Schizosaccharomyces pombe: one gene and its partner. Changing the gene in region 1 together with any one later gene gives a genetic interaction. Each region holds a gene or a part of one and is shown on either strand. Other genes may lie near its edges.

Region 1 (3,600 bases):
CATCGGAGAAGGGGACCTAACTTTCAAGCTAGGAAAGGCAATATCTTTATTTATCTTGGGTAACATATCAATAGGTTTAATGGGTGAAGCTTGAAAAAGATCATCTAAAGAATTATCATTGCAAGCACCAAAATCACTGTTGGGACGTTGAATAGAGGCAGCGTCTTCAACAAGTTCAACAGAGCTTTCTGGTAAATCAGCAACCTTGCCCATCGTAAATGTATCCTCATGATCAGACATTAATTCGAAATCATCCGTATCATCAGTAAGACAACTTTCAAGTAAGCTGGTCGTGTTGCTCGACTGACTACAGGTACGGGATAAGGCATAAGTCAAATGGCGGGTAGCTTGTCCACCAGAAGTTCCCTTCTTTTTGTTAATGGAATATGAGGAACTCGATCTGGATCGCAAAAATGGGGGTGCGTTGCCTGATGATCGAGAACGTGAGACGTTAGGACGAAGGTAGGAATCAAAAGAAGAACTCGATAATGACGAACGAGTAGCTTCGCTTTTGGTGGTGTTTAATGCGATTGATGCTTTAGGCTTAAAGCTGTAAGCAATAGTGCTGGAAACACGTGGGGAATCTTGGGTAATGGAATACTTCGATGCAGGTTGCCGGAAGAAGTAGGACTCGGTTAAAGCGTCATTCGAGGGTGACTCCGGGAGAGGTGAAACAATAGTCTTGTTAGCGAGAGGGGTTTCTACAGTACAAGAAAGAGATCGAAAGAGCGTACGACGAGGAGTCGGTAAGGCAGGGCTTTCATCGATATGCATGTTCATTGACATATCAGCAGCTAAGGAAGATGCAGGTGAAGCTGTCGAACAAGTTTTTCCAAAAGGATCCACTAATGTTGAGGCAATGTGTTTGGATTTCGGGAAGAAAAAATCCAGCTCTTGATTTGCATTGCGATCCGACATCAACTTTAATTCACGGGCAGCAGGACGCAATACATTCCGTTTGCCAGATAGAGTGTTGGTAAAGGAAAGTGAAGAAAGCGGAGAATCCATTTTAGTTGAGGTTTAACTATTATTAAAAGCAGACAAAATGGTAAATTTAATTTAAACCAAGTACACTGCAAAAAGAACTAATGGGACGACACGACTGCAAAAGATTGAGTTTCAGAATGAGAAATCAATAGAGCAAGTAAGATAAATTATAAAGGAAAATCCTAGGGAAGAGTCAAAAGACCGGTTTAAGATATTAATGCCAAAGTGAGACAAAAAGAAAACTAAAAGAAAGACAGGATGAAAGCAATATAGCCAAATATTAAACAAAACCAACCTTTACAAAAGAAACCGGAAAGAAGTTTAAGTAAGTTTAGACTCCACACGACGGGAAGACCGAATAAAAGTATATAAAAAAAAAGAGATTAATGAGACAAAAATAGATGAGCACCAACGGTCACGACTATAATATAGAATATAAAAGATACTGTCGTTGAAAGAAAAAATGAAAGAAAAAAGAAAGTTAAAAGAAAGCAGTTGATTAATATGAAAACAACAGAATACCCAAAAGTTCAGACTCAAAGTTCGTTACAAGTAATAAACCCCCCACTTTACCATATAAAGGCTTCTTGAACAAATAACTTCAAGAATCCTATTAATTGCCTTAAAAAGCGTAAGCAATTGTATTATAGACGTTTCAAAAAATCACTGAACCAGCAGTTAGTACTTGAGAAGCATCAACAGGAATCCAACTTGAGGAGAGAAGGATGCCCGAAACTAACAGGCATCAAGTTCTTTTTAAACTTACAACTTTGGTATTCTTAAGAATAATATTTTCAATGTAATACACTTGATCTAAAGGAGAAGAGCTTGAAGCGCTGTAGATAGTTGAGGGTAGAGAGAAATCTCAGCTCTGCCTCCGAGAGGAAAAAAAAGCAAAGGTAACAACAACAATAAAACACCAACCAACAAATTCGAGTAACAGAAAACAATAATAAAAACAAATACATGATTAAAGCAAAGTTAAACTGTAAGCTGTAATACTTAGCCAACACCTCAGCCATGACAACTATTGTTGTATAGTTTAGTTGCGTAGATAATGCCGTTTCAAGCTACAATATGTCACCTCTTAATCTATTAATTATATAAAAGCAAATAATCATTTCATTAACAACATTGAACTAGATGAAAACACATAAATTTTTGCATCTTGTATGTTTGTTTACATGTCCATACATCTCAGCTATTCGATCCACCGCAGTTTGTCTGATTTGTTGCCCTAGCAACGCCAAATGTTGTGTATGTGTAAACAAATACATAAGAACAAACGTCAGGTAACCTGCTTGACAGCCATTAAATCCCCATAATCTCATACCCGCACTCCTGATATGTAACACGAGCAGCGAGATAAAATATGTTATCAGGTGTTAGCGAATAATCGTAACACGATGAATCTCTCTACTTCGGGACTCGGACTGTCATTCCGAATTGGAAAACGAGGGTGTAACTCATTGAAAGTCTCCCGATGTTATGTAGCTATGGGTTGATACCATTATTGTCGTAGTAGGCATATTTCGCAAGATAGTATAGCCAGTTGTCTTGTTAAACTCGGATATCTTCAACAAAGATACCGCTATTATTACACTTCAACATACAAAATATAACAAAACTCTAACCTTTATTTAAAGTATTCTAGCAATCAGAGGCAGATATCGTATCCACAGAAACACTAGAGCAAAAAAGAAAATATTTTATCAGGTGGAGCACCTTTTTGTAAAAACGCCCTGATACGTGATTAGTAGACAAAGAAAAGTGTAACCATAAAAATTGCTGGAACAAATTGTACGCAAAAAGATGGAGTATGAAACAAATAAAAAGTGCAGTATAAAACAGTTTGTCGAACACTTCGTGGAGTTCAGTGACACAAAATCAAATGAGTATCCGTAAAACCTAAAAACAATGAGTGGACTTAATTCTTAAGATGCTCGGCAAGAATATCAGAAGTGAGGGCCTTGCCTTTGGCTTCAAGAGCACTGACCAATGCAGCACCTACGCCACTACCGTCTTCGGCGGGGATGGTAACAACTTTGCTGCCAATTTCCTCACCAAGGATATCCTTAAATGCTTGAGCAAGACGATCCTTAAAACGAGGGTATAAGTTGTAGACACTACCATCAGTACCTACAATCATAGATGGCTTATTCATTTTACGAACAAGGGCGCATACACCACACGCAGAAAGACGGGCAGAACGAGTTCCAATCAATTCGCATGCACGACGAATGAATTGACGCTCTTCTTCGGTGGTCTTGAGACCATAGGTTTCCTCAAATAGGGTTTGAGTTTCATCAAGGTTCTCAAAGGGGTCAACTTCAATAGCGCTGAGCACAGAGGTATCCATGGCCAAGGGGTCACGAATCTTGGTAACGTCCTGACCGTTAAAGAGAGCTCCCTGTTCATAAAGGTCAAGAAGAATACGACGCAAGATATCACCCAAATAGCATCCAGCAATCATTTTCTCGTACGTTTGAAGACCGGGTCTGGGAGACTCTTCATCAATAGCAACATCGTATTTGGTACGAGGAAGGACAACATGCTGGTTGTCAAAATCGCACCATTCACAGTTGATGATCATGTTCATATCTTCAGGGAAGT
Region 2 (3,600 bases), 4.3 Mb from region 1:
TGGAATAGTAGGCATTATGTCAATTTAAGGAATATTACCAAAGCTGGTATCTTAAAATTACGTATTATACAGATGGCTTAACAGACTATTATCCGCTACATAGCGTTACTGAAAAAAGTTTTATTGGGATCATCTTTTGGGCTTCCAAACTTATCCTTCTCCATTTCTTTATCATGGCAAAAGATAAAAAAGACCATAAGCATAGTGGAAGCACCGAAGATGAGTATGATTCATATCTTCCTGCTTTAATGCCAATTGCTAAGCCTTTAGCTCCTAAAAAATTGAACAAAAAAATGATGAAGACTGTCAAGAAGGCTTCGAAGCAGAAACACATCCTTCGTGGGGTCAAAGAGGTTGTAAAGGCTGTTAGAAAAGGAGAGAAGGGTCTTGTAATTCTTGCTGGTGATATTTCTCCCATGGATGTTATATCTCATATTCCAGTATTATGTGAAGACAATAATGTCCCTTACTTATATACTGTTTCCAAAGAGTTGCTTGGTGAAGCATCAAACACCAAGAGACCTACTAGCTGTGTTATGATTGTTCCCGGTGGAAAAAAGAAGGACATGTCTAAAGTTGAGGAGTACAAGGAAAGCTACGAGGAAATTATAAAAGAAGTACCTGCTCTTGAAGTTTAATTGTTCAATATCTAAAAGATGCTTAGCCATTTAATGTAGATTATTATATACTATTAAAATTTGGTATTTATCCTGGGATTTAACTTTTGGTATATCATGTCTGTTTGCTTGATAGTAAGCGAAAAGAAGTTTTGCTTAATGGTCGGTTTTAAGGTTTCAAAAAATTTCCTTTTTAATCTAGTGTTTTATCATTCTTTCTTATGCCCTAGTATTTTATGGGTTTAGACTGGTTTGCGAGCAAACTAATCACTATACCTCCAAAACTTTGTTAGCAATAATATCGTATCATTTACCAACTTATATGAGAATGGTATATCGCTGTAACAGCGATGAAATATCAACTGATTTTTCCTCAAATTTCGTTTACGCTGATCGTTTCATTACGGATTTAGCCTGTGTTTATTTCTAACTAGTTGCGCAAAAAAGTTTTATTATTCGTTTAGGTTGCTATTTAGTATTCAGAGGCGGCGTGTTAGAACCAGTTTACAACTAACTTAAATTTCACCCAACGTCGTTCTTACCATTATAATGTTTACAAATATTATGCTTTCCAGTGCTATCCATAAATGATAGATTAGGGTAGCTTTAAAGGTCCGGCAATTATATGGTTATCTATCCGGATTTTGTTATCGGATTTAAATATATTTGCTAAAACAAATCGAATTTCAGATAAAAAAGTTGGGTTGTATTTGTATGAGCAAAAAGTATTCTGTATGTTTATCATAAATTGATGTGCATTTTTACTTACTTTGTAAGATAATGATTATTGTTGTTTATTTACTATAGTGTTGCTAAAAGTTAATGTCTTTTTTTTTTTAATAAAGAGAAAAGATTAAATGTCAACATAACGTTGTGTATAGTTTAGAATCCACTTTTGTCTTCATTTGTTTCGCACCCCACATATTTTCTTGTGCATTATCATCCCTTCTATTTACAAGGACCACCAACACCCAGGTACACAATTTAGAACTCAACCATTACGGGTTTGACGAATATAGACGAGATTCGCAATTACTTGTCTGATGGATTACCAAGATGATGGGCTTGGTGAAATGATTGAGTTTTTGGAGGGTATGCATGAAGTTTAACTCAAATATCTCGTAAAATTGATTAACATGTTAAATAGACAAGTTATACTACACATCATTGTCGCAACCACCTAAAGCCGAGTTATATCCTCATATGCATTTTTTTACTATCGATGATGAATTGATCTACAACCCTTTTTATCATGACTTTGGTCCGCTGAACGTGAGTCATCTTATTAGATTTGCAGTGATAGTTCATGGTATCATGGGAAAACACAGACAAGCTAAGAAAAGCAAGGCTATAGTTTTATATTCTTCTACAGATACAAGGTTGCGTGCAAATGCCGCTTGTTTGTTAGCTTGCTACATGGTGTTAGTACAAAACTGGCCTCCACATCTCGCATTAGCCCCTTTAGCTCAGGCAGAACCTCCTTTTTTGGGGTTTAGAGATGCGGGATATGCTGTTTCAGATTACTATATCACGATTCAAGATTGTGTTTACGGACTGTGGAGAGCACGAGAGAGCAGCATACTAAATATACGTAATATCGATGTTCATGACTATGAAACTTATGAAAGAGTGGAGAATGGAGATTTTAATTGGATATCTCCTAAGTTTATAGCATTTGCAAGTCCTATTCAGGCTGGTTGGAATCATGCGAGCACACGTCCAAAGAAACTTCCTCAACCGTTTGCGATAGTTCTCGATTATTTCGTCGCTAATAAGGTCAAACTGATAGTTAGGCTTAATGGACCTCTTTACGATAAAAAGACTTTTGAAAATGTTGGAATTCGACATAAAGAGATGTATTTTGAGGATGGCACAGTTCCAGAGCTTTCTCTTGTCAAAGAGTTTATTGACCTTACCGAGGAAGTAGAAGAAGACGGTGTGATTGCTGTTCATTGCAAAGCAGGGCTCGGACGTACTGGATGCTTAATTGGCGCATATTTAATATACAAACATTGTTTTACTGCTAATGAAGTTATTGCTTACATGAGAATAATGCGTCCTGGAATGGTTGTAGGTCCACAACAGCATTGGTTACATATTAATCAAGTTCATTTCCGTGCATATTTTTACGAAAAGGCGATGGGAAGAGCAATCCAACAGGCCACCGCTGCGGAACCCTTAGCTACTCCTCCTCGCCATCCATTGAATGCTACGAATGGTACCTCTCAAAGCAATATCAGTACTCCTCTTCCAGAACCAACGCCTGGCCAACCGAGAAAAGTTTCTGGACATAATCCACCGTCGGCGAGACGTCTCCCTTCAGCGTCCTCTGTCAAATTTAATGAGAAACTTAAAAATGCTTCCAAGCAATCAATCCAAAATGAGAACAAAGCGTCATACAGTAGTTACGAAGATTCAGAAATACAAAATGATGATGAAACACGGACTGTTGGAACTCCAACTGAAACAATTTCAGTGGTTCGCTTGCGTCGCTCATCAAGTCAAAGCAATATCGAACCAAATGGAGTTCGTTCTCCGACATCCTCACCAACTGGTAGTCCAATTCGACGTACAAGTGGAAATAGGTGGTCTAGTGGGTCTAGTCATTCTAAAAAAAGTGCTCAGCGAAGTGTTAGCATGTCATCACTTAACAATACTTCTAATGGCCGTGTTGCTAAACCTAAGCCTTCTAAAAGCCGGCTAATTTCTTAATAAACCTGTAATTACTGGTTTAAATGGCAGTTTTTACATTCCTTTTTTTCATATAAACTAACTTTGAATTATACTGTGTCAACCCTGCATAATTTTTCATTAATTAACTTTACAAATATTCCCTGATTTAGCGCACCTTTGCGCGGTGGGGATCACCACCATTAATGTCTTAGCTATCCTTTTTGTTAACTAACATTCATATTTCTTTGGAAAAAACTTTGGCTTTTTGCAAGCCATGGTTAATGATTTTAATCGAGAAATTGTTTTGGTT

What was found. Genes that interact genetically often act in the same process or in processes that back each other up.
Region 2: of cdc25 (region 1) and clp1, changing one enhances a phenotype caused by changing the other (phenotypic enhancement), as found in Schizosaccharomyces pombe (4 studies listed by BioGRID, with this or other methods).

The regions. Positions count from the first base shown.
Region 1 is NC_003424.3:480,533-484,132, forward strand, and holds the start of cdc25 (protein tyrosine phosphatase (M phase inducer) Cdc25), read right to left. Parts: upstream 1,842-3,600; 5' UTR 1,754-1,841; exon of another isoform or gene 1,654-1,753; 5' UTR 1,009-1,653; coding exon 1-1,008. Other genes in the region: hxk1 (hexokinase 1), read right to left, coding at 2,915-3,600.
Region 2 is NC_003424.3:4,769,720-4,773,319, reverse strand, and holds clp1 (Cdc14 family protein phosphatase Clp1), read left to right. Parts: upstream 1-1,603; 5' UTR 1,604-1,660; coding exon 1,661-1,709; exon of another isoform or gene 1,710-1,764; coding exon 1,765-3,329; downstream 3,330-3,600. Other genes in the region: box H/ACA snoRNP complex subunit Nhp2, read left to right, coding at 174-638. UniProt on the Schizosaccharomyces pombe protein: Protein phosphatase which antagonizes mitotic cyclin-dependent kinase cdc2, the inactivation of which is essential for exit from mitosis. To access its substrates, is released from nucleolar sequestration during mitosis.